Oryzias latipes: one gene and its partners. The protein of the gene in region 1 binds, or shares a complex with, the protein of each later gene. Links are inferred from orthologs where the notes say so. Each region holds a gene or a part of one and is shown in the gene's direction. Other genes may lie near its edges.

What was found.
Region 2: med1 (region 1) and med13l share a complex: the UniProt entries of both Homo sapiens proteins name them as parts of the mediator complex. The link is inferred for Oryzias latipes from reciprocal best matches to the Homo sapiens genes MED1 and MED13L.
Region 3: the proteins of med1 (region 1) and rarb are in contact, whole or in part, in a crystal structure (PDB 1XDK), measured with the Mus musculus proteins. The link is inferred for Oryzias latipes from reciprocal best matches to the Homo sapiens genes MED1 and RARB. Residues at the interface, in NP_001073587.1 of Mus musculus: His642, Pro643, Met644, Leu645, Met646, Leu648, Leu649, Lys650, Asp651; in NP_001276689.1 of Mus musculus: Ile264, Val267, Lys271, Phe276, Ile281, Gln284, Ile285, Leu288, Lys289, Pro435, Leu436, Glu439, Met440.
Region 4: med1 (region 1) and med18 share a complex: the UniProt entries of both Homo sapiens proteins name them as parts of the mediator complex. The link is inferred for Oryzias latipes from reciprocal best matches to the Homo sapiens genes MED1 and MED18.
Region 5: med1 (region 1) and med12 share a complex: the UniProt entries of both Homo sapiens proteins name them as parts of the mediator complex. The link is inferred for Oryzias latipes from reciprocal best matches to the Homo sapiens genes MED1 and MED12.
Region 6: med1 (region 1) and med7 share a complex: the UniProt entries of both Homo sapiens proteins name them as parts of the mediator complex. The link is inferred for Oryzias latipes from reciprocal best matches to the Homo sapiens genes MED1 and MED7.
Region 7: med1 (region 1) and med20 share a complex: the UniProt entries of both Homo sapiens proteins name them as parts of the mediator complex. The link is inferred for Oryzias latipes from reciprocal best matches to the Homo sapiens genes MED1 and MED20.

The regions. Positions count from the first base shown.
Region 1 is NC_019877.2:9,668,136-9,672,426, reverse strand, and holds the start of med1 (mediator of RNA polymerase II transcription subunit 1), read left to right. Parts: upstream 1-1,491; 5' UTR 1,492-1,505; coding exon 1,506-1,626; intron 1,627-2,927; exon of another isoform or gene 2,928-3,142; intron 3,143-4,291. UniProt on the Homo sapiens protein: Component of the Mediator complex, a coactivator involved in the regulated transcription of nearly all RNA polymerase II-dependent genes.
Region 2 is NC_019870.2:12,503,118-12,506,617, forward strand, and holds part of med13l (mediator of RNA polymerase II transcription subunit 13-like), read left to right. Parts: coding exon 1-110; intron 111-922; coding exon 923-1,129; intron 1,130-1,717; coding exon 1,718-1,879; intron 1,880-2,309; coding exon 2,310-2,466; intron 2,467-2,570; coding exon 2,571-2,666; intron 2,667-2,761; coding exon 2,762-3,418; intron 3,419-3,500. UniProt on the Homo sapiens protein: Component of the Mediator complex, a coactivator involved in the regulated transcription of nearly all RNA polymerase II-dependent genes.
Region 3 is NC_019869.2:19,009,627-19,013,126, forward strand, and holds part of rarb (retinoic acid receptor beta), read left to right. Parts: intron 1-3,188; coding exon 3,189-3,393; intron 3,394-3,500. UniProt on the Homo sapiens protein: Receptor for retinoic acid. Retinoic acid receptors bind as heterodimers to their target response elements in response to their ligands, all-trans or 9-cis retinoic acid, and regulate gene expression in various biological processes.
Region 4 is NC_019874.2:22,764,196-22,768,423, reverse strand, and holds med18 (mediator of RNA polymerase II transcription subunit 18), read left to right. Parts: upstream 1-1,429; 5' UTR 1,430-1,786; intron 1,787-2,263; 5' UTR 2,264-2,270; coding exon 2,271-2,343; intron 2,344-3,062; coding exon 3,063-3,619; 3' UTR 3,620-3,728; downstream 3,729-4,228. UniProt on the Homo sapiens protein: Component of the Mediator complex, a coactivator involved in the regulated transcription of nearly all RNA polymerase II-dependent genes.
Region 5 is NC_019868.2:8,252,762-8,256,261, forward strand, and holds part of med12 (mediator of RNA polymerase II transcription subunit 12), read left to right. Parts: intron 1-1,319; coding exon 1,320-1,446; intron 1,447-1,591; coding exon 1,592-1,812; intron 1,813-1,905; coding exon 1,906-1,965; intron 1,966-2,072; coding exon 2,073-2,246; intron 2,247-2,339; coding exon 2,340-2,484; intron 2,485-3,500. UniProt on the Homo sapiens protein: Component of the Mediator complex, a coactivator involved in the regulated transcription of nearly all RNA polymerase II-dependent genes.
Region 6 is NC_019868.2:21,185,906-21,190,107, reverse strand, and holds the start of med7 (mediator of RNA polymerase II transcription subunit 7), read left to right. Parts: upstream 1-1,402; 5' UTR 1,403-1,518; intron 1,519-3,685; 5' UTR 3,686-3,694; coding exon 3,695-4,202. Other genes in the region: itk (tyrosine-protein kinase ITK/TSK), read right to left, coding at 1-15. UniProt on the Homo sapiens protein: Component of the Mediator complex, a coactivator involved in the regulated transcription of nearly all RNA polymerase II-dependent genes.
Region 7 is NC_019863.2:2,278,419-2,281,660, forward strand, and holds med20 (mediator of RNA polymerase II transcription subunit 20), read left to right. Parts: upstream 1-1,152; 5' UTR 1,153-1,262; coding exon 1,263-1,276; intron 1,277-1,448; coding exon 1,449-1,594; intron 1,595-2,141; coding exon 2,142-2,395; intron 2,396-2,465; coding exon 2,466-2,687; 3' UTR 2,688-2,742; downstream 2,743-3,242. Other genes in the region: bysl (bystin), read right to left, coding at 1-63, 692-956. UniProt on the Homo sapiens protein: Component of the Mediator complex, a coactivator involved in the regulated transcription of nearly all RNA polymerase II-dependent genes.

The DNA.
Region 1 (4,291 bases):
AAATTTATCCGGTATTTTAGTGCCAAACTTTTCCTGCCTTGCTTTGCTTTGTCTTTTTTTAGATCAATACTTAGCATTCTTACTTTCTTTTTTTTTTACATTTAGAACCGCAACACAAGTAGAGCAGGAATTTGTACATTGTGTTTCATGTGTGCTGTTCTCTAAGAAAAAATTACCATTAAAAACATGTGTTTTACAACAAATGGTAATTTTTGAAAAGTAAATCATTTAAAAAAATTGAAATTCTTCATTTATTCCCAATTGTTATGCATGTTACCATAAATATCTGATTGTTCTACGAAATGCACCCAAACAATTTCTGGTCACTCTAAAAATTGAAGTCAGTGTGTCATTTGTTGAGTAGGGGGAAATAAAACGCTTTTGGGCTGGGCTGACCATCTTATCTGAAACAGTTCAGAATTGTTCTTTGGTGTCTTCGGCCTGCCTTTGCTGACTCTGCTGCTATCCGGACGTGGCACTGACACAAGCACTACCAGATTAGAGAAGGTTTAGCTACTGTTCCAGCCTCACTCCCTAAGCTATGCCCACCCTCAGCACAGAGGGGGTCCCACTTGGCATGGCAAGGTGAACTAGCCCCTGATTGATGGGCATGGTTTCAGCTTGCTACCGTGCTCCCTAGGCTCGTGCCTCCTTTTCCTTTCCCCCACCGCCGTCTTGGCAGCAGTATCTAAATCCTCATCCATGCCAGGCAGCCAGCTAAAGCTCCTGGTGGGCACATCAATTACATAGCAGCACCTCCCCTCTTTTTCTCCTGTCTGTCTGCGGTTCTGTCTTCTGTCTCAGGCGATGCCAATCTGGTCTCTCTCCATCTCAAATGCTGTCTAAAGCTGTCTGTTGTGTGTGTGTTGTGTTGTACACATGTTCCTAAATACATTTTTGTGTATGCACAAATATATTCATGAACACACTCCTTGCTCTCTCTAATGGGCAAGTCCTAATGGTTGGTGGGAAATCCTCCCTTGAGAGCACTCATTGCCACAGGCTCAGTTATACAATAGACTCAGGTGTATGTATGCTGTGTTTGTGTGTGCAGGGCATGACTGCCTCTGCTCTTCATGTATTTATATTTTACTCCACTGCTTAATTCCACAACCTGTTAGTTGTTTTACTATGTTGTAAACATGGATATTTATATATATGGAAAAAAGGAATACAAATATGACAAAAAAGAAGGGACTATTCACTGATTGACGTTGGGACGTTTATTAAGAGATTTCTGCTTAGTTGCTTCGCTTTCATAGACAGAAATCATATTCTTGTGGTAGTGCGCCACCTGGCGTTTGTACCAATGCACTATTTGACAGCCAGAACCTTCAAGCTTTACCTTTATTTTCAAATGAATCAGCGCTGCTACACTGGATGAATGTGAATAAAATAAAATAAAATAAAATAAAATAAAATAAAATAAAATAAAATAAAATAAAATAAAATAAAATAAAAAGGTGTTCCGGAAATTTGCGCGAAGGAGGAGCGGACAGGGGACAATGGCGACCGGGCCTGTTGTGTCTGTGCAGAGCGGTAGCCCCGCTGGAGAACTCCCTATATCGGTACAGCAGGGAGGAAATCCAACTATTATAGATCGGGTAAAAGCGGACGATGTAACAGGTGCGATTTATTCATTTATTTTTATTCTTTTGCCTCATTTTGTTTCTTGTTGTGTCATTCATAGAGACAGGAAGCTGCTGCATTATGCTACAGGCTAAGCTAAACTAGCTGAACATAAACCAAGCGAGCACTTTCTTATCAACAAATTGGATAATTTTCTGATTTCTAAGTCACATAAAACAATCTTTTATGAACGAAATTTCTTGTGGCGCTTGACGTTTTTTTTTTGGTACGGTTGAATCAGCGAAAGCTAAAAGCTAAAGTAAACAAATACGTGCTAATATAACTTTATTCGAATTAGCAAAAACGGAATTGTGATCTTTAATAAATATTAGCATCTTGCTTTATTCACATTGATTTTAATGTGAAGGAAATTTCACCAACTGGTTATAAGTAACAAGTTATTACGTTTTACCAACTCATAATAACACATTGATTGTTTTGGTGTTAGCTTCATTTGACAGCAGAGTTTTGCGATTGTTTTGTTGTTTGTAGGTTTACATTTTTTATCATATCCGTTAAATTAAGCACACAAAATAGTTTTGCTGTTAGAAACCACTGCAAAGTTCATAGAATTATTCTTTAGTTTAATATTGTTTCAAACCTAGAATGATTTCAACCTTCACACCCTGAGGGCTTTTATTTATCTACGGTTATAATAAAGTGCTTATTTTGATCAACTAGATTTGTGCATTTCACATTTATGACGTTGCTATTATCAGGTATAAAGGCATTTATTAGAATGTGGAGATTGTAAAATTATACAAAAATACTACAAGCTATTACAAAAAGTGGTTTATACGGTGGCCGACAGAGCTCACACTACATACAAAAAAGACAACGCAACGACATTACCCGAAGCACAACGGCGTTCCCCGAAGCATAACGTACGGTGGCCGACAGAGCTCACACTACATACAAAAAAGACAACGCAACGACATTACCCGAAGCACAACGGCGTTCCCCGAAGCACAACGGCATTACCCGAAGCACAACGGCATTCCCCGAAGCACAACGGCATTACCCGAAGCACAACGGCATTCCCCGAAGCACAACGGCATTACCCGAAGCACAACGGCATTACCCGAAGCACAACGGCATTAACCACAGCGCGACGGCATTAGCCGCAGCATATCAATATTAACCTCCTCAGCACAACGGAAATGACGACTAGGCCGACAGAGCTCACACTACATACAAAAAAGACAACGCAACGACATTACCCGAAGCACAACGGCGTTCCCCGAAGCATAACGGCATTACCCGAAGCACAACGGCATTCCCCGAAGCACAACGGCATTACCCGAAGCACAACGGCATTCCCCGAAGCACAACGGCATTACCCGAAGCACAACGGCATTACCCGAAGCACAACGGCATTAACCACAGCGCGACGGCATTAGCCGCAGCATATCAATATTAACCTCCTCAGCACAACGGAAATGACGACTATTTTTCTTCCTACTGGCGGGAAAACATAAAGTCAGTTTCAACCTATTCGGGGCTCCTGAGAGAGGTACGTGATTTTTTCTACTACTATGAGGATCATAATGGTATTTTCGTTTTCTTACTAGATAACCTAATTTCTTACAAATATACGTTTGTTTGAAATATAAATTTACCCAGCTCTCCACATAGTGACCTCTGCATCTAACTTTTTGTCTAACACCGGGTTAGGTAAAGTTACGTTTGGTAGGTTAGATAGCTAGCTCATTAGCCGATTAGCTCGCCCCGCTCAGTCAGCTTGGTGAGGACACTTTAGCCTCTTCTAATCAAGAGTTGCAGTTGACAAGTGGTATGTCTTGCTTATCTTTTAAGTAAGCAAAGAGAGGCGCTGTAGCTGTGTTATTCAGACTTTTTTTTATTTAACAGTCTTCCAAGTATTACACCCTGACCGTGGCCGTGAATTGCAATCTCTTTTTTTTTATAACTTTATTGAGCAAATGCAAGTATACAACATGAAGAACAATCAATGCAGTATACAACATACAATCAATATACAACACAAACGATGTTAAACAGCCAGGGGAGTCGATTCATTAAATATTTGCAGAGAGTTACAAATTTCAATAGTTCTGAGAGCCTTTTTGTTGGAGGAAAAGGATATTGATTTTATGTAAAAAGTTACATCTTTAATGAATTGTGGGAAGTATGGTGTTTTATTAGTAAATTTACACTTATGTATGTAGAATTTTGCCAGAAGAATTAATAAATTAATTATAAAAAATACCTTTTGTTTTTTGGGGGTCCTGAAAAAACAAAGTAATACATTTTCCCATTTCAAGGAGAAATCTTTGAAGACATGAATAATGATGAATCTACTGAACTCCTTCCAAAATCTCTGTGTGGACAAACAGTGCCAGAAAAGATGAGTTACTGTTTCTGGGTGATCTCCACAGAAACTACAATCAGTATTAATATCTTTTTTAAATTTTATCATATAATGTTTGGCAGGGTAAATTTTATGGAGAATTTTAAAGGATACTTCTTTTACCTTATTTATTATTAAAAACTTATGAGGGATCGTCCAGACTGCTTTCCAGTTGATATCTGGAACAAATTGATTCCAATAATTTAAAATATACGGGGGAGAGGTATAAATCTTGATGAATTGCAATCTCTCATCAGCTTCCTAGCTCTGCGCAGTGCACCAACACGTGACTAC
Region 2 (3,500 bases), on another chromosome or scaffold:
CGGGGAGAGCAATGTGTGCACGAGCGTGGAGATTGTCCAGCACCAAGCTGCATACCACATCACAGATCACCACATCCGCCTTGCACAGACCTCTACCACCCCAGTTCAGGGTAATACCACAAACCAGTTGCTTTTCAAGTACTTTGACATTTGAACCTGATGTTTGACTCATAGAAAATATGTTTTCTATTTTTTTTTCTCATAATAATTATAAAGTTTAGTAAAGAGTTGACGTATTTTTTCTGAAGTCCTAGTTTTGTGGGTTTTAGGAGCTGGAACCTTATTTTATGTAAAAATAAACAAACAAACATTTGAAAATAATTAAACAGTGGGCCCCTTAATCTATAAATCTATAAAACAAAATCCGCCTTACAATCTGGTGCACCTTAATACTGACGTCCAATTGCATACAAAAATCTGTCAAAATGTTTGAGTTAAATGAAGTTTCAATTAGTTTACTTTTTTTTACTATACTATACTTTTTACTAGAAATTTTTATTTTTTAATTTTTCTTTAAGCAAAGAGGGGTAAAACTACAACATGTGGCTCCGGAGCCGCAGGTTGCAGACGCCTGATTTGATGCAGGCAGGAAAAAGCTGTCCATTTTAGGGTTTACAAATTAATTAGCACTTTTTTTTTACTAAGTTTGCACACATTCTGATGCAGCATGATGGTTTATATTTATGTCTGTGATAACATTCAGAGTATGAAAAGACTAAAACACATATATATTCAAACAGGTCAATATCAGGTCATGCTCACATACGCATTTTTGTACTAAAAATCTTTTTTTTAAAATAAAAATAGATTATGGCTGCATAGAAATACTTAAATTTTAAATTGTTATAATTTGTCAGTTTGTTTTGTGATGATTACTTTTTACTTTTACTTTGAGTCTTTAAACTATCTTTTTTCATTACAGTTGTGCTGAGTCCATACAGTCTGAGTGGCACTCTGACTGGTCAAGCCTACAAGATGAGTGACCCGGCAGTACGAAAGCTCATAGAAGAGTGGAGCTACTTTTATCCAATGGTTTATCCACAAAAGGAGGGAAGTGGTGAGAAGGAGAAAGGAGAGGCTGGCCAGGCTTGTGATCGCTGCAGTCATGTGGCAGTGGAGGTCATCGTAGGTATGGTCAACAAAATAATAAAACCAATTTTATAGACTGAAGGTACTTTATTCTATTGAATCCACAATTAAGGAATGGAGATTCTTCTTTTACAAACATCAGTGAATATTTACAATATTCCACATTTGGTGTTCTCTGTTAAACTAAATAGTGAAGGAACTGCACCTCACTTATAACCCTGGTGTAGACTCAGACATTTTGAGCTGTGGTTTTACTGAATAGAGAAGCTTTGACTGCAAAGATCCTCTCAATCTTTGTAATACACCTGAGAGTGGAAAAGGGGAAATAGCTGGAAGGCAGGAGAGGAGCAGTCGGGAAGCTGAGGTATGAACTCCAGGGAGTTTCTCTAACAGCCTAATCAGTCTGATCCCACAGCGCCGACTTGACCTGATTACAATTAAAACTCCTCTGGATACCAGTGGTGCTACATGTAAAGAGCAATGATAGTAACAAAGAAAATGTTGAGCTTTTGTTTTTTTACTTATCTAAGTGCCGTGTGATAAAACGGATTGCAAAATTCAAGTGCATCAGCAGAGATCAACATTTTGTCAAAACACAATAAAAACAACTGTTTTTGTTTATTCTTAGGGGGAGTAAGGATGACCTACCCAGCTGCTTTTGTGCTGATTACCCAAGGAGACCTACCAGTGGAGCAGCCTCCTGTTTCTGTGGCCCAGGGCCTCACCAAGGAGCCAAACAACTGCAGTGTGCCGCTGACTCCACCAACATCCCCTGAGCAGCCATGCTCTGGTAAAAAAAAGAAAAAAGAAAACCCAGACATGAACATTAGTCCAAGAAAAAAACAATTTTCTGCTTTAAGCATATTTTTTCAGTTCAGGCAAATGTAACAGAACTATGAATCAAACTTAAGCACATATTTTTCATTACATAAACAATTTTTTTATATAAAAAACAATAATTTTACAGTCAAAATTAAAAGCACCTTAATGCTTATGCTATTCCCAGCTTCATATAAACATAACTGTGAAAGAAGGGCAGTAACCACAGCACGTCATTTGCACTTTACTGTTTGTTGATTTAAAACTTTTTTACAAATTCTTTGAGAAATCCCTCCAAAAAATGTATTTATATGCCTTATGGAGGAAACCGTCTTTTCTGAAAATAGAAACACACGCCTCAAATCTTTCTGTCCCATCACGCCATATTTTCCATTTTTTAGCGGACAGTGGCTTTGTGACCTCCGTCTCCAGTGTCCCCACACCAGACAGCAGCACGGGCATCAACAGCATCAGCCCGAAACATTCTGGGAAGAAGCTTACGTGTCATGTGGTCCATCAGGCCTGGAAGGAGTGCTATCTCAACCAGCCTCAGCATCTGTATGCGAAACATTATTGCCTTGTTTCTGAAGCAATTGCCACTATTAGCCAGTTAAAGCAATTTAGCCCCCCCCCCCCCTCATGGATTTGTTTGTGTTCTGCAGAGCAACTGAGTTAACGCAGAGGAAGGAAGCGCCAAACGGAGTAACAACATGGAATTTTAATGATCTGGGATCTAGAACGCCCTGCAGCTGTTCCAGGTATCTTTAGGTCACAATTAAGCTGTTCTGTAAAATAGTTATAAGATATTGTTTTTTCAATAAGTTTTGAATATCTTACTTTCCCTTTTTTGCAGGTTAAAGCAGCAAAAGTTTAATATGGCCATCACCTCTGCAACAAACACTCAGACTATTAGCAGCTCCACACAGTCCTCTGGTCCGTCGTTGTATCCTCCTTCGCTCCCTAAACACAAGACAAGTGACAAGACAGAAAAAACCGACAAACAATCCAAAAAACCCTCAGTGATCCCTTTTCACCATCGTCTAACTGTCACGCAGGACGGCCCCTTGGAACAGGACTCACCTGGAGGGCCTCAAATGGGTGGCATTGTTGCACTCGATCCACCCATGGAGACCCTGGCCTCTCTGCCAACCTGCAAATATTCCAAACCCATGTCAAATGGCAGGAAACCCCCAGAGTCCCTTCTTCATTCACCAATGTCTCCCCTTCCACCCACGCTGAGTCCGCACCCCCGGATGCAGGATCCAGAGGGTTTAGATGTGCCTCTGGATGCTACCGTGTGTCCAGATGGGGGTTCGGGAGTGGGAGCAATCACCAGCGAGACAGCTGTGTACACGGATCTTCTGAGGCAGCGGGAGAACGGGGTCAGCTGGTGGAGAGGCTTCAGGACTCCCAGAACTGATAAGACAGAATTCAGTCCACCTGAACTTCCCTTAGACAACCTGGAGGAAATGAACTTAGAGGTGGCTGCAGATGCAGTTCCACTCAAAAGGTAGGATATGTAAAAAAAAATAGGTTTTGCGTTACGTGTTATTGGAATCACAGAAAAGTATCCATGAGTAAAAGAAAACCCA
Region 3 (3,500 bases), on another chromosome or scaffold:
CAAACAGAATTTTAGTTTTTCAAATGTTAGGTGAATCTGGTAATGTATCAATGTTAATAAGATTTGAGTCACATTTTTCTGTCTTCAAACCTCCATCTTGGGTTCCTGAATTTGAGCATAGTAGGAAACAAACAAATGGTGCAGTTCCACCAAAAACCACTAGAGGAAGATTCCAGGAAGGAGCAGTATCCTGTTGACTCATGTGTAACCCTTGTGCTATCCTAGGCACCCACTAGACAGTGCTCTGAACCTTTTTTCTTAAATGATTTGTGATCCTCACTGGTGTCCATGGATTACATGAAATTTTTCCACCTTTAACCACCTTTGTCATCTTAGGGATTACATGGTAATGTAAGGGTGGGGTCACCTAAGATAGCACAAGAATCCCCAAATCACACCAAGAAATAAACATATTCACTCTGGGTTAAAGAATCTTTTTGATGCAATTTTTTTAATGACATCTCTGATTGGATGAAACGTTTTAAATCAATAATTTTGAGTTTTTAAAACTCAAATTTGTACATTTTTAAAGAGTTTAATTAATTATTTTATTTATTTATTTCGGTTGCCTCGTTAATGGACCCAAAAGAGCTTCAAACTGTATTTGGTTCTGCCTAATTGCAATTTTTGGAACTTTGTTAAGGTGAGCAAAGCAAACCCATTCCACTTCAGACTTTATTTCATCCTTCGGAAACTAAAGTGTGACTTCAGGAATTATCCGTCCAGTGGATATTTGGCTGTGTCTTTCTCCAATTAATACATACGTGCAGGACAGGAGGGTCCATAATTTTATTAATGTTGTTACCCAGAAATAAAAAAAGGTAAAAAACTAAAATTTTCTCAGACTTAAAATGTAGCCGATATGGGACCATGTTGCTAAAAGTAAATAATCTTTAAAATAAATAGACACATTTTTGAGTGTCACATTGTTGATTTTTTCAATTCAATTTAAGTCAATCTTATTTATATAGCCCAATACAACAATAGTTGTCTCAGTGGGCTTCACACCGGTAATTGTAAAAAACGGTAATTGTATAATAAACATGAAATCATAAAGAACATGGAGACATACAACTCAATAGGTAGTGGCTAAGCTAAAATAAACAGACTAAACTAAACTGTAAACTGGACATCCCTGCCCTTAGACCCTCCTTCCCTGTAAGGAAAAACTCCTTAAAAAATGGATTCCTGGAAAAAACTCTACAACTACATGTTTGAATAGTCCAGCAGATGGGCTTGATCCAGATGTGTGGCTGGATGGCTGGGGGCACGAGACGAGCCAGAGATAGGGTCCACAAACAAGTGTAGGAGCAGGAGGAGAGACGAGCCTGAGACAAGGTCAACAGCCAAGTACAGGAGAACAGACGAGCCAACTGGAATCACTCCCAGGACTGGGATAGAAGGACAATGCATGAATCGCACTGCACCAAGCAGAGGCAGGGAGAATTGAATGATAAATAAATTATCAAGAAGAGAAGAGAAGTAGGTGAGGATAGAGGACAGAATCCCAGTGCACCATACTTTCCCCAGCTTCTGGTTAGGGTTAAGCTTACGGTTCAGGTCAGGGCTAGGCTTTTTTTTTTTTTTTTTGGGGGGGGGGGGGGTGGTTTAGAGGAGAGTGTCGTCAGTGGTCTGTGGGTACGGCTGTGGATAGGTTTTGGTGTAGGCGGGATCTGGAGGTCCTTTGATAATATTTGTGTGGTTGCAATGGGATCAGATCATCCCTTGAAGTGTGTGTGTGGTGAAAGGGTCATGTCAGGTCAGGTTGTAGATGGGTTGAGATGCAGGCAGGATCTGGAGCTGCCTAATGGCAAATAATTGTTATTGTTAAGTTTAATTCAAAACATGTTAATACTAACTTAAATAGTATGTGATTACTAGCTAGCCTGGCAGTAAGCCATTTGTTGTAGTGTCAATTTCAAGTCTTTGTATGTTTGTGGCTTAAATGAACTAAAACCAGGTGGGGTTAAGGTTAGTGGCTAAATGTCCAACCAGTTTCATCCATGTGGTTGTGAACCAGGGAGGAAGACTCCTTTGTCAGAGTTCGCTCTGAGTGATGTTCTCATCAGCCGTGACACAGCAGAGCCCTGAACTCAGAGGCTGAAGGCCGGCTGTGATAGCGCTCCGGTTAGCTATCATCATCATCATCATCATCATCTGCTCATTGTGCACTTTTGCGGTGAAGGGCACAGATATGGAGGCTGGAGCTTGGAGAGAGCGCGTCAAAGGCAGATCAAACAGTGTGTTTGTGCGTGTGTGTGAGCGCAGGCCTGGCCAGCCGGGAGGAGTGGCTGCCAGAGAGCATGTTTTATTCTGTTTCATGTTGCAGACACGCCTGCCACTCACTGTCAGAGCAGCACGCTCAGACTGCTTCAAAGGCTGTCACACAATCAGACGCTTCATTAGCTGCACAAAACACATGCATGCTTTTGGACATACACATTTTACAAATATCCACACACATGAACAAACACATAGAACACACATGCCTACCTGACACACACACACCCACATGCACACACCTGACAGACCCCCGAGCTGGTTCTGTTGTGGAAGGTCGCCATATTTTATATTTTGTTTCTGCAGTATTTTCATGGCTTGAATAGCAGCTTCACTGCATCAGATCAGAGCTGCGCTCATGCACCTGCCATACTCACCTTTCCACCTGTCAGTGCCCACTGAAAGACTCCGCTCACATTTGAACAGGTCAGAACTGTACGATTTGGATTGGTCTTTCTTCCAGGTGTGCTAGACTCACTAATTTCCGGGAGAAAACAGTATAAATCCTGGATTTTGTGTCACTGCTGTAAATTGGATGGTTCTGACCCAAACAGAGCTATTGAAAATACACAGGCAATTTTCCCTTTTTTTCATGGGATCAGCGCTGTTTCTGCAGTCTGACATTTGTTTCAATGACGTTTGAACTGCTGTCCTCTCCACATGGGACTTCAGATCTGAAAGAAGCTGTGTGATGAGAACTGTGAGAGGATTCCACAGACGGGTTTAATTGAGGCTGAACAGAGTGGCTGGATCATAAAACGCTCACTTTTGCTTTGATGGCCTCTAGATCTGCTTTATATTTCTTAATTTTCCAGGATTTTGCTCCATAAACACAGAGTACGCTGTAACGCAATTTACTGTCAACTTCCTGTAAATCCGACCCAACCAACGTTCCATGTCTCTGGCAGATCCTCCGCATCTGTACGAGGTACACCCCCGACCAGGACACCATGACCTTTTCCGACGGACTCACCCTTAACCGCACACAGATGCACAACGCCGGCTTCGGCCCACTGACCGACCTGGTTTTCACTTTCGCCAACCAGCTGCTACCCATGGAGATGGACGACACAGAGACAGGCCTCCTCAGCGCCATCTGTCTCATCTCGGGAGGTAGAAAATTTGGTGGGGTACAGAAAGAAAAAGGGAGAACTTAGAAGGTGTGAACGGTTCTTTACATACAGCCGTGCAGATGTTGGTCATCCGAGTTTCAAAAATCT
Region 4 (4,228 bases), on another chromosome or scaffold:
TGTTCGTTATTTTTCTCCAAGCAGAAACTCTTTCTTTTGCTTTCTTTGGGGTGCAAATTCTGAGGTTTTTACTTTCAGAGTTTTAATGAGCCTGAGGTTTTAACAGCTCCATCACACCTTTTCTATGTTCACCCTCTAGCATTTCCTTTGCTTTGCACTTGCTGTGTTTTCAGAAGACGGACAAGTGTGAGTAATAATCCTTTACATTTTCCACAAATCATAAAGTGACTAATCATTTACTAATCATTTTCCACTAATCATTATTTCTTTATTTGCAGGTGGAAGAAGAACCCTCCATTGTTTATTCCTTAATTGCCTTTAGAACCCCTGCAAAGACCAATGGCCGTGAATTAGCCCACAATGAAACCATTTACAGTGAAATAAAATTCACAAAAAGCAGTTTGGATAGGTTGAGCAGGTAATTGTTGCGATATTTTAGCAGTTCTGAAGTTGCCTTAACATGGATTCTGTTTTGTGAGTTGAAGTAAACTTCACCCTACAAGGTCCAAAATGGAAACCCTTAGAAGGGTTTTTTCCATTGTGTCAGAAAATGAATAACTGCTTGCTAATTATCTTTATGAAATATAGCATTGCTTTGTGTCTGTACCTGATACTGTCAGCAAGTGCTTTGAAAACAGAAAACAAGTTCCTTTAAATTATTCTGAACCATTATTTTTTCTGACACAAATTTTGTTAAATATTTTTTCTTTAAAGGCTTCGGAATCCGTCAAAACACAGTTTTTATATCTTTATTATTTTATGTGTAAAATATGCATCTGATGGAATGTTTGTCATTTACTTTAAAAGGTTAAGCACAAATCTTAAAAAAGTTTGTGAACCTCAATCAGCCAAAAACTATAGCAGCATGTCTGAATTTTAAATGTTTTATTCAATGTTTTAAAAAGAAAATATTTAACAAAAACTAATTGTAAAAATATTGTAATTGTTGTGAAGACAGCATCTGAGTTTTAAAAAAAAGGCCCACAGAGCTAGGCTTTTATTTTTTTATGTGCCAGCAATTACTATTACAACATTTTCGGTATGAAATCTACATATATATTTTTATTATTTTTAAATATGTGCAAGGTTTTCAAATACATTTAGTTACTTATCTGCACTGATAATAGTTTCAATTTTTAGAGCACGTTTTGGTTTGTGAGTGTTTTTGTAAATCAAATGACTTGAAGTTGATTTTTAAAAAAATGTTATTTATGGATTGTATTTTTAAAGTAACCCCTGTTTGGGTTACTGTAATTGATCCTTTTTCTACATTGCTAAAATTTAAGTTCAATAAGTGTATTCAACGTGTACTTATTGTTTTATCATTTGCCTAAATACCTGTTTGCGCGGAAAAAGCTAACACAGAAAGTTGCTTCCATGAATGGTTATATTCCGGGGTTTCAGTAGGTGGCAGTAACGAGCTTTAAACTGGATTGAAAGCGCCTTTTAAAAACAAAAGCCAAGGAAGAACTTGGGCGCCTTTGTTTTCTGATTAGCATCAAATTTTGGTTGTTTTTAGAACGGGTTACAATATATATTTCATTAACACTTTTTTTATTTTTTAAGTTAAGTACGAATGCCTTAAATTACTTTGTTGATGACAGTAACAGCTCAAATCGTGAGTTGGTAATTCCATGTAGGCTAACTGTTAACTGGTACTAGCAGCCGTGTGGATATTAGCTAACCGGTGAAACAGGGGGCCCACCGTGGAAACCAACCACAAACAGCAAAAATATCTTAACTTTAGTCAGTTCTAACGCTGCGCCGAACTCTTTATTCTGCTCAGGTAAACCATCTTACTCTGTAGTGAGAAACGTCTACTGCTTTTGCTAGTTAGCATAAGCCTGCTATTGGTAGTTGTATTTGTTCGCTAATTTAGCTAACAACTGTTTTCTGTTTACTCATTCATTCATTGGTAATGTCACTCACATGTATCATCAAACAACTGCAAATGAAATAGAGTAGTCCAACAACACTTTGCAAAAAGTAGCCTATTTAGTTTACTACATGTATAATTGGCTAGTGGGACGATATACTTGAAGTAAACTTTTAAACACAATCTAGTATTGCTAAATTCAAAACATAAAATGTTCCAATTTAGTCTGAAGAAGTTTTCAGTCAGTTAATACTTCTTTCACAATATACACATGGTCTATCGTACACTTGTACTTATTCTCACGTGTCCTCAATGAAATAAACTTCAAGTGTAGTACTTTTTGCTAAGTGAATGACAATGCCATCATTCACTATTACTTTAAATCAGGAAGAAGATGGAAGCTCCTCCTGTCACAGTTATGCCCGTCACCGGCGGTGCCATCAACATGATGGAATATCTGTTACAAGGTGAGACGATTCAGATATAGAAGGTTCAACCAGAGATATAGAGGCTTGATATATTTACAGATAAAACGGTGTATTTTTCCAGAATACATATATTAGAAGCCAGTATGAAGTTCACTGGCTAAATTATTTGAAAAATAATGTTTACATCTTCATTCTGTTGCTAAAACCAACTTCTATCCATTAATATTAGTCTTTAAAAAAAAACTATTAAGTTGAGCTAATTATTTTTCCATCATGAGTGTTGGTGTAGCATTAAAGAGCAAACCACACTGTCAAGAGTGTGGAAAGAGTGCTCAGTTACTTTCTGTCTTGAAAATAATATATATTTCTAAGGTTTTCCTGTCCTGTTTGTGCTGCACTTTACTGGACACATTTGTATTTAGTAAACTGAAGTATTTAAGATTATATAGATGCATAAAGATTTATGGAAAAATAATCCTCAAGTCAGGAAAGCTTTTTTTAAATTTTTTTATTCATGAAACCTGTTATTCATGTTTTCATCACATCTGAAGTGTTTATTGAAACTGTGTTTGTAAAAAAAAGAGATCTAAAACGAACACTAATTTTAACATTGAACATTTTTTAATTTCATGATGGAGGATTATATGTTTAATATTCATTTTTAAAAAGTTGTATCACAGCAGGAAATAATTATAGTGGGAGTAAAGAACTTACTATATGAGTCTTTAAAGGATATTCTATTTTCTCGTTTTTTTCAGGCAGTGTTTTGGATCAGGCTCTGGAAAGCCTCCTGCATCGCCTGCGTGGTCTCTGTGACAACATGGAACCAGAGACTTTCACCGACCACGAGCTGGTTTACCTTTTGAAAGGCCAGCAAGGCAACCCCTTCATTCTGCGTGCCAGACGCTCCCTCTCCCACCCTACTTCTCCATGGCACCTGCGGTATCTAGGCCAGCCAGAAGTGGGAGACAAGAGCCGCCATGCTCTGGTTCGCAACTGTGTCGATGTAGCTGCCTCTCAAAGCCTTCCGGAGTTCCTCAATGAGATGGGCTTTCGCATGGACCATGAGTTTGTGGCCAGTGGTCACATATTTCGCAAAGGAGCAATGAAAGTTGTGGTTAGCAAGGTTTCACGCATCCTAGTACCAGGGAACACGGAAAATACAGAGCGAATGTCGCTGTCGTATTTAGTGGAACTGAGCATTTTGGCTCCGGCCGGACAGGACACCGTGTCAGAAGACATGCGCAGCTTTGCCGAGCAGCTCAAACCTCTGATTCATCTGGAGAAGATTGACCCAAGCAAGCAGAGACATTAAGCATTAATGGAAAAAAATGTTTTTGTTATTGTTTTCCTTTCCATTTAAATGCTTTTTAATGTGATGAAATACAGATTTACTTTGCTTAAACTGTTACAGTTGTGGTTAATCTGACCTGTCAGAGTATTTTTTTAATTTATTTTTTACTTTTTGTGCCTACTATAAAGAAAATATTATAGTAACAAATAGCTGGAAAATACTTAAATATATTTTAAGTTGACAAACATTTTGCAATGCCTCAGATGGCTTATGTTATTGCTTTAAAAATTTTTTTTTAAATCTTCAATTTCATTTTTTTATATAATAAATGTCCACCAGGGGTCTCTCTTTCCACAAGGATGGTCTTAATTGGAGCAAAGTGAACGCTACCTCTCATCATCTACAGGAGCTCTGGTTGCCATGGAAATAATTAGCTGTGCGATCTGCACATCGTTTACCCCACTCTAATTAGCTTTCTCAATTGCTTAATGATACATAGACCTGTGAAAGCCTTTCTTTCTTCCTTTCCACAAAAGCATTGATTTTCCCTCTCTTCCCCTTTCATTTCTACTGTTAACCCATTAGTATCCTTTCTTTTTTTCATGGGAACTTGAGCTGGGACTATTACAA
Region 5 (3,500 bases), on another chromosome or scaffold:
AAGATCAGACTTGGGGAGGCTGTTCAAATGTTCTGAAGTATTCGAGTCAGGATTTGCCCCCACCAGAGGGGGGCACTGTTCAAAAAGGAATCAACCTTTTCTATGTCCTGCAGCAGACCTGGACTGCAACAACCTGATTGTTTTTGCGATTATTCTCTCTAAGCGCGCACTTGAGTTTTCCCCACACACTCCAAAAACTCACTACAGTTTGCACGCACCTGGTACCTGGAGAAAATGAATTTTGGGCATCGTGAACGAGCAATCTTGATGAAATTTTACACCTGCCGCCAGGTTAAGTCTATGACCACAACCACAAGTTTTGTTGACCTTTGATGTTGGGAAGAGGACACCGTCTTGAATTTTAAAATTCAATCCCCTTTATTACCTTATACAAATTTAAACTAGGGGTTTCTGTCTATCTTCTCCTAACTCCTCGAGAATCACTAGGATGCAACTTGGTAAAAAATGTAGATCCATGTAGTAGAAGATGTACATCTTTGGATAACACTAGAAGAATTAGAAGTGGTCGATTTTTCAGTGGCTTTAGCCTGGGGAGTTCCCAAAAGTGGCATTACCTTGATGCTCGCACATTTTTTACTGGGAAATTGTGAAAAGTTGAACAAAATGGAATGACACACAATATGATCATATTAAGAATATGGGTGTGGTTATCAAAAAAAATCTCTGTTGCCAAGGAAATCCAAAAGATCACTTCTCCCGATTCTTCTAAAAATTTGACTTGTTCGTCTCCCCCAGGGAACCCAAACATAAAGTGGTTGCTGTAGAGATAAAGCCAACAGCCATTTAGAAGATTTGTTTTGTTTTTTCTTCTTCAAGAATTTGTCATGTGACCGTGACCGTGACCAGTGTGCCAGGGGCAGAAGGGGGCAGAGGGGGGCATGTCTGTGGGCTTTAAGATTTTTCTTGTTTGTTTTTTTTGCCCTAAAAAAAAACTTTTTTTAGCTTTTAGCTTTTTAAATAGCTTTTTATTTTGGTTAATGGAAATTCCAATTTAATGAATTTAAATCCCAAAGTATGTGCATCCTGTTTTTCGTTACCAAACACAGATGGTTCTTGAATAAGGTTGAAAATTAATTTGGTGTTCTGGTCGTTCTAGTTGAGCCTCTGGAAGCATCTCTGGTAGCTGGAATTGTGTTGTAAATAAATTTGACATATTTGATCCCTTTATTTCTTTGTGGTTTTGAAATCTTTGTCTTCCATTTTTACCTCAGTGCCACCGCCTTTATTTATAAACCAAACACTGCAGACTCAGCCAGGAGTTTTACTCTGACCCTTTGTGCTGTGTTGTGTGTTCACAGAGGTGTGCAGAGTCGGAGGTTGTGGATGAGAAGGGCTCCGTGTCGTCTGGCTCCCTCTCGGCTGCCACATTACCCGTCTTTCAGGATGTTTTGCTGCAGTTTCTGGATACTCAGGCTCCCACACTCAGTGAGTTTTTCCGTCATCCTGAAGCGTTTCATGTGGGATTTGTCTCCTGGTCTCAGCTTTTATTACCCCCCGCATATTTATTCTGATTTGTCTTATCTGAGAAATCCTCCTATTAAATTATTCAAATCCTCTTTTCCCTGATTAGCGGAGCCCGGGAACGAAAGTGAGCGAGTAGAATTCTCCAACCTGGTTCTTCTCTTCTGCGAGCTCATCCGTCACGACGTCTTCTCTCACAACATCTACATGTGCACGTTGATTTCACGTGGCGACCTTGCTTCTGAGTCCCACCTGCCCCGCCCGCGTTCGCCCAGCGATGACGAATCAGAGCGCAAGGAGCAGGATGCAGGCAGCAGTGTCAAGATGGAGGCATGTTGGAGGCATCTGTTGTAGCTGAGTAATGGAACCAAATGCCAGAAGTATAACAGCGTAACAAGGCTGGTTTTATTATTTCTCCAACAGGATACTGGTCTGTCTGAGTCCATGGAGATCGAGCACAACTCCAGTGCTAATTTTGATGAGGTAAATGAAGCCTCTCCCGCCTTTAAAATCAGCGTCAGTAAAGGAAACAGAGCAGTCCTTTAGAGGTTTGTCTTCACTTGAGGGGACTTTTTGGTCTCATCCTGCAGATGTTCTCACCTCCCATGCACTGCGAATCCAAGGGAAGCCCTTCTCCAGAAAAAAACGCTCCAGATCAAGACAGCAAGGCCAACTGTAAAGACAAGAGCATGGACCCTGCCTTTCCTCAGCTGTACGACCAACCCCGCCACATTCAGTACGCCACTCACTTCCCCATTCCACAGGTAAGAGCACAGGTAAAGACAAAGAAAAACACCACACGTCTGCTCTCTTCAGGTCATGGAGTTCAGCCTGTTTTACTTTGACTCTGTCTCTAGGAGGAAAGTGCCAGCCACGAGTGCAACCAGCGTTTAGTGGTCCTCTACGGCGTGGGCAAACTGAGAGATGAGGCGCGACACACCATCAAGAAGATCACTAAAGACATTTTGAAAGTGCTGAACCGCAAAAGCACGGCAGAAACAGGTGACGGTGCATCCCAGCGCGTCCCACTGTGGCGGATCTGAAGGTTATAGACAAAGGTCAATATGGGGTCAAATCAGGATCAGCAAGTGAAAAACCTGATTCTAGATCAAAACATTTCAACTCAAAAGCTTGAAGAAGAAAAAATTTACATTTCAAAAAATAATTCTAAACTTGTGGAAAAACTGAAATTAGAAGAAAAACTTAAAACCTAAAAAACAAAAACTTTTACCAAATGAAACATGTTTCTTTGTAACAGCTGCAGTTTTGTGTTTCGAAATTTAGTTTTTTCGTTTCTCTCACTCTTTGCTTTCAGTCCTCAAGTTAGTTTCAATTCACCATTTTCTCTTTTGGATTTGTCCCTTATTTTATGTGGGGGGTGGGGCTTGGAGCCCATTGGTCACCAGGAGATGACAGACATTGAGTTAAAGGTCATGGTGACATCATTTCCATCTGTTGTTGGCGCCACCCGAGTCATCCCTCCTCTGATTTTCTGGAGCGGAAATGATAATACTATAACCTCTGTCACACCATGTCAATCATGTCCCGATAGCCAATGGGCCTGAAGCCCCACCCCCACATGCAATTCGGCTCAAACAAAAAAGTAAAATTCTGAGTTGAAACTGTCAATTGAGGACTGAAAACGAAGCTGGAGAGAGATTAAAAAAGCTGCTTTTACAAAGTAACTATACAAATTATTATTTTTTTTCGATTGGGAACCGTATGATGTTATTAGTTTAATTATTTCACGTTTTTTTCCCTCCAAATTTCCATATTTTTATTCAAATTTAACTTCTGGTTTTTTGTTCTACTAACCCTGAAGACCCCATACCTGGAATATACCACATGTACCACACTCTAAAGAACAAACTCTCTCTTCCTTATCAACCCAGAGGGTGGATTCATCTCTATCTGTAAATTGCTTTCATCTTTTTTTTTTTTTTTTTTAGAACTTATAATTTATTCAAACTTTTTGCAACAGAGCATTACACACGGTTGTCTCCATGGTTTCCACAATA
Region 6 (4,202 bases), on another chromosome or scaffold:
CACCCGAGGAAACATGGTTAGCAGTTGAGAATAACACCACTGGAGACACTGGGTGGTATTGGACGGAGTAACTGAAAGCCTCTGACTGCAGGGGGGAAAAAAAAGGGAGAATGCAAACATTGAAGATGCCGAAGAGTTTCCGGCGTGGGTTAGTTGCATGCAGTAAACCACATCCTTGTGGCAACACTCTGTGCAAGCAATCACACACTGATGTGCACACAAATACACACACGTATCATCACGTATGTTGTGTTAAACTCAATAAAGGTTTTTTTTTTAACATGAACCTTTGATGTACTATTGATCAAATTTTGCATAAAAATGTAAGCTTTTTGTCAGAATTGCTTGGTTGTTAAACAAAAATGTTTTAGAAAACAATTTAAATTTTCATATTAAATCAAAAGCTAAAAACAAAAATAACACTGTTAATCAATACCTAAGAAGCCATAGCTGGGGTTTTTTTTCGGAATTTTTAAATTTTCTTTTTTCTTCATTTAAAAGAAACTCTCCGCTTGTATCAAAATTGTAGTAAAAAAGTACTACTGAAGGAAAACTTAAAAATGAAAAAAATGCAATTTTTAAAAATGTAAAATGCATGATAAGTTATATCCTACAAACACTAAGAATGTCAAGGTTTCATGAATCACTAAATGCAGAAAACAGCAAAAGAGAAAAGTCTGGTTTCTAAGAAAAATGTATCCAAATACAATATGGAACCTTTGATGTACTTTTCATGAGGCTATGTTTTCTTTGGGGTTAGAAAGATTCTTATTTTTCTTTTCAATTTTGGTTCAAATACGATGTTCTTGTTTTGTTTTGCACACTCCGAAGCACAACCTTTGCCCTCTGCTAAATATTCACTAGGCCTATGACAACGTTTATAAAATAAAATGTTACATGTCATTCTTATTTAGTGTCAGGGTCAAGATGAAGTCAGCTTACTTATAATAGTTTGACCATTTTTATTTAAGTGTAAAAAAAAGAAAAAGAATGAATATTAGGTGTTGCTAATTGACTAAGTAGAAAATGAAACATAAAATTCAAAGTTAGACACTTTCACCTGCCCTACTGTATTTAGGGCGTAAAAACAAATGATAGATACATTTTTAAAATTAGAGTCCCCCTCCCCCCCCTTTTTTATGGTTACAGATCTGAACTTTTTTTGCTTGGGTTTGATTTCTTAAGCAGCTTATTTTAAGAACATATTTTAAGATTTATAGGCCTACCAGGATCAGAACCTGAACTCACTATATTAAACAAACAAAAACTAACAAAAAGTTTAAAACAATTAATACAGGAAAGAGATTAGTTTTGAATAAAACCCACTAATTATAAGGTTAATAATGAAATACTTTAAAGGCTTGTCGACGCAACCAATCAACGTCGAGTTTGTTTCCGGGTCACTGTCCAATCCTGGCATCTGAAACTCAACCGGGAAATGAATAAAGCGAAGCTAGTCAGGAGCTAACTGGCTAGAAGAATTTTCATCTAAACTCAACCAATTGAGTCGTTAAACAGGTTTGTACAATAATCAGTTATAAATGTAACCCTTTTATTCGTGTTACAGACCTGTTTCTTTGACTGTAGAGACTGTATTATTCAGCAGATGCAGGAAACGACGTTTGTTGTTAGCCAAACATCAACGGAGCGGTTTTATTAATTAGGTTTTTGTAATAACTTTTACTGTTAGTTAGTATATACGTGGGCTTTTATGTGGTATCTAAATGCACTACGGCGGAATAATTCGAGATTTGTTACGTTAGGTTTGACTTTGACATAGTTCTCAAAATGAATCGTGATGATCATGTGTGTGTCTGTTGTCGACTTGTCCGCCTTCTTACTTAGAAAACAGGTTTAGCTATGTGATGTGTGAACATTATCTGTTGTTGTACTTCTTGTGAGCACGTGTAAAATCCTAAAAAAAACGCGTGGGAAAAAATACTTTTATTGGTTGGAGCGGTTAACGACTCGTTTGGCTACGGTAAACTCTGATCGTGGCAATCTTCAAGTTAAAACATGCACCGACCATATGACATATCCTTCTCTGATTTGAATGTTGTTTTCTTTCCTTCAATAACAATGATACAAAGTGTTGAAAACAGACATCAACAAATATGCATTTTGTAAAAGCTGTGTTTTTTTTAATGTATAGAATGTGCATGTATGCACTTCTCTTTACTAAAATCCACAATTTGACTTGTTTTTGACCCTCATTTGTTCTCTTCTTACATCAGGATGGCTTTTCTTTAAACATTTTTTTAAACTCTGCAGTTTTTTTTTTATTTATTTTTTAATTTTGAATATAAAATCTACTAATTCAGTTGTATTTGCTAAATTGATAGCAGAACAATTATAAGGTTATGTGCACAACAAATAAGCATTTTGAAAAAATGGTGTTAAATCACACAGAAAAAAATCATATTCTTTAACAAGTACAATCTGATAGGGGGGATAGTGATAGATAATATAAATTTAAACATGTTTCAATTGAATAAAAACTGTTTTCTTATAGATAAAGGAATTATAATAATTTGGATTTTTAGTTACCGGTAAGTAGCACAGACAATTTGTTTCAATTAAAAAAACATGAGGATGTAAAGAAGTTTAGGAATCAATCAAAAATCTGTTTAATTGTCCCACAGGTAACTATAATGCAATGGAAGCTGTCACATCTTTATGCCATTTTCCACAGCATTTAGAAATGGCTTTATTGATTAATTATTTTTGGTATTGTAAAACTGATTATGGAAACCTGTATAAGTCTTTTCTCACAATTTTAAAAAAATGTTTCACTTAAAAATTCCTCTACATTTTCTTTAATCTTTTGAAAAATATATTGTAAAACAATGTATTATTGAATAAGTATCTGTAACAGAAACTATAGTAAACCGTGTTAAAATAATTATAACGTTTGTGGATGCATATACAAAACTAGTAATATTAGGCTAAGTGTCAACATTGTACATCTGTTCCTGTGTCTGTTGGTTAATCTGCATTTAATACTTATCTACTCTAACCTAAAAACATGTATATGTTTAAGCTCCACAGATGCATGTTCTTCTTGGTTGTCGCTCTTGCCTCACAGCAAGAAGGCCCCCAGTTCAAGTCCCAGCTGGGGGACCTGAAACAGAATCACCACTGGGGGACCTTTCTCTGTGGCGTTTGCGTGATCCCCTGGTTTTTCTCCAGGGACTCCAGCTCCCTCCCACCGTCCAAAAACAAGCTTCATAAGTTAATTGGTTACTAAATTCTCCCTAGGTGTGAGTGTGCATGGGTGTGTGAACGTGGCTCTGCTACAGACTGGCGAACTGTCCATGATGTCCCCTGCCTTTGCTGAGATAGGCTCCGGCAGCCCCGTGACCCTGAAAGGGACAAAAACGGGTTTAGAAAATGAATAAATAAGGATATTTTTTCTTGAAAGTTATTATTTTGGCACATTAAAAAGGCATAGTTTTGACAAAGTGCTATCATGACTGTGACTTTACTGACTGGAGAAAGCGTTTATGCAAGAGGTAGCTGATGCCATCACCCAGAACATATGAGGGGGTCATTAAAGATTGTTTTACTTCATATAAGTGAGACCCGTGAACTCGCCACAACAGTGGGATCTTATCAGGTGCATGACTGTGTATTTGTTGTTTGGATTCTTTCTAACTTGTAGTTCTATTTATTTTATAATTTTTAGGTCTGCAAAATGGGTGAACCACAGCAGGTCAGCGCACTGCCTCCACCGCCCATGCAGTACATCAAGGAGTATACAGATGAAAACATTCGCAAAGGTCTGGTGCCAAAGCCGCCTCCGCCCATCAGAGACAGCTACATGATGTTTGGCAATCAGTTTCAGTGCGACGACCTTATTATTCGGCCTCTGGAGAGCCAAGGCATCGAGAGGCTGCATCCTATGCAGTTTGACCACAAACGGGAGCTCAAGAAGCTGAACATGTCCATTCTCGTAAACTTTCTGGACCTTTTAGACATCCTTATCAAAAGTCCTGGTAATATTAAACGCGAAGAGAAGATGGAGGACATAAAGCTTTTGTTTGTTCACATGCATCATCTGATCAACGAGTACAGGCCGCACCAAGCCAGGGAGACTCTGAGGGTGATGATGGAGGTGCAGAAGAGGCAGAGGTTGGAGACGGCGGAGAGATTCCAAAAACACCTGGAGAGAGTCGTGGAGATGATCCAAGGGTGTCTTGCTT
Region 7 (3,242 bases), on another chromosome or scaffold:
CAGAAACTGCTTCTCCCAGTGCGGGCCACTCTTCATCCGAGTCTGCATCCCCAGATTCAGGACCTACAGTTACAGGAGTGTTTAGAACTCACATAATGAAAAGATGCAGATCTAGATGTATGGAATCACCCAACTAACTACAGAAACGAGTAAATGAAAACATTATTACTTCTATTTTTAAGTATTTATTTACTGAAAGTATTTTAATTTGGAGTGTTTACTAAAACCATCATTAGTGAACAGTTAACTTTATTTTTAAGTCATAGCATTAGTGCATCCCTTAGCAAAAAGTAGTCTATTTAAGTAAACTACAAGTATACTGTCTATACTAAAAGTAAAGCAGTAAACTAGAATTTTCTTTTTATATACATTTAAAATTTTCCAATAAAAGTCTGAAAAAGTATTCAGTTACTATATGTCCTACACTACACGTACATGGTCTATACTTGTACACTACTACACACTTATTACTCAAGTATCCTTAAGTAAACTTCAAGTGTACTTGTCTTTGTTAAGGGTAGATGGGTCTGAATTGTGATGAATCTGTGATGCAACTTTACTAAAGTTGGTCATCGTTTTCTTCGGTAAGAAAAACTAGAACAAGAGAGAACCTTTAGAAACCTTAATCAACGGCTTCTGTTTGATCATTTTCTAAACTGAAGCGGATGTCCTGGTTCTGATCCAACATTACCAAGAACAGTGACCGGTGTCGCCTTCTTCTTCTCCGGTACCAGCCCATATTCGGTCTGAAGCTCCTCTTGCTGAATTCGGGCTTGCTGTAGGATTTTCCGCGACAGCCGCTCGTCTACGTAGGTGTCGTCGCTTTCTGGCCGCTGGTCTCTGCTCTTAACCCGGTTGCGGGCTCGGACCGTGTCCGTCTGCAGGATCTGGTCAGCCAGCGCCACGGATCCAGAGCTCTTTTCTCCTCCACCTTTAGATTTCTTCACTTTCGGCATCGCTACAGCTCCAAAAAAATTTACAAGCTAAAGCCTGTCTATGCCTTTTTAGTGTGTAAACACCCAGCTGTTTAGCACGTGCGGACAAACGGCATGCGCGACAGAGGCAGCGGAAATACATTACGTCACATCCGGTTTCATTAAAAATGTTTCGAAACATTATATATGAAAGAACCTATGTTTATTAACTGAGTTAATCAGTTTAACTCAATTCGTCTATGTTCACTTGTATTTTTATTTTATTTTTTCCTTTACCGGAAGTCAATTTGTTTAACCGGAAGTAGTTGCGAAGGAGGCAAAACAAAAATGGGAGTAACTTGGTAAGGAATATTTTGGCTCATTAAAGTGTAATTATTATTTCAACATAGTTTGGTTTCGCTATGTTTATAGGACCTGTCTATTTCAAATGTTTGTTCTTTTGGGGAAAGCGTGCTCCTCCCCTTCATGGATGCGTTGGGTTGTCGCTGCTCAGTCGGGTGTTTTGTCTTTCAGTGTTTGTCAGGTGCCCATAGCGGAGGGCAAGAGTGTGCAGCAGACCGTGGACGTCCTGCAAAAAAAGCTGGAGCAGCTCGGTTCTGTGAAACAAGGCAGCTTCTGCGTGGATTGTGAGACATACCACGCCACGGGAAACGTTGTCGGTAAGCTCGCTACTTTTTCAAGCATCACGCGGGAAACATATTAGTAGTTATTTATTCATGTGGTAATTAGTTGTGGTTGCTTAGACCTTTAAAAAGCAATTAAAAAAAGGTGATTGGCATATGAGCTCCGTTTGTGCCCTTGCATTTAATTGGTAGCATTTTTAACAAGAACATTCAGGGCTTTTGCTAATTCTTCCTTCAGACACATCTGCAGTAAATATGGGACACAATTAAGCATACATAGCCACTTTATCTTATGTGTGTTTGTCAAATTATCTTGAGAATATTTTACAAATTAGATAAGGGTCCTATTAGTTCTACTGGAGTGTGACGACAGATCACCCCTTCAGCTGCACTTTAATGGCTCTGGCCTTTTATGGTAGAAACCATCTCAAAGCCTTACTATAAAACCAAATATTGTTTAAGGTTTTAGACTTTAAAAACCTTTTTTACATCAATAACAGATGTGCCTTTATTTGAATCATGGATGTGGAGTTTATGTATTATTGAGTTGAATGCATCATCCAGTGTTTCCCGTCTGTCACAGGTCAGCCCTCCAAGCTCTTATACGTGATGCATAACTCTGAAACCCCTCTGAGCTGCATGGCCCTATTCGAAGGAGGACCCTACTTAGTAGCTGATGCTAACTTTGACGTCCTCATGTCCAAGTTAAAAAGTCATTTCCAGAACGCCAAGGGACACAAGGTGGAGAGTCGAGGCTCCCGCTACCGATACTGTGACTTTTTGATAAAGGTGGGCACTGTGACGATGAGCTCCAGCGCCAGAGGCATTTCAGTGGAGGTATGGAAATGCAGTTTGTCCCTTTCAGCGGGACGGGTGGACATGATGTGCCCTGTGTGTTTTACTGCAGGTGGAGTACTGCCCCTGTGTGGTTCCTGGGGACTGCTGGAACCTCATGAAGGAGTTCATGCAGTCTTTTCTTGGCACCAGCGTTCCCGAACTTCCATCTGTGTTTGCTGCTAAACCCGAAGGGCTTTTTGCAGCAGCGGACTGTGTTGACACCATGACGCAGTACTTGGAGTTGTTCAACAAACTTCGTAAACTGCAGATCCCAGGGAGTAATGTACGTTAGGTCAGGAAAGCAAACTGGCCTTTTTGTATTTTATTTTCTTTTGGGGGGGGGGGGGGGGGGGGGTTGTATCAAATGCTTGATTATGTTTTTCTGAAACTTTTGAAAACCAACTTCTGGAACATTTATTTTAGGAACTTAGTTGAATGTCTTTGCAATAAAGAAATCAGGTGGAGGTAAGAAACCAGAGCCTTTTTTTAATGTAGCTGATGCATTTTTTAGTTCAGAAAATGTTAGGTGAACTAGAAGGAGCCGCATTTCCAGAAGAAAATTCAGGGTTGAATGCTATATTGTTGAATGAAAATGAACCTTTAAAGGGTAAGAATTGGCACAAAAAAGGAAAGAAATGATCAAAGTTGAACAACAATAAAGTGAAAACAGCACAATAACAAATAGATACGTGTGTGAAAAATGCCAGAGGGATCAAACCAGCGAGCTTCTGCACCAAGGATTCCCCATGGATTTCTATGGAGGCAAAAATCCTGGAATATCTGGAAAAGTTCAAGGATTTGAAGGACTATAAAGCACAAGCCAGTCTCATACTTGATAAATGTCAAT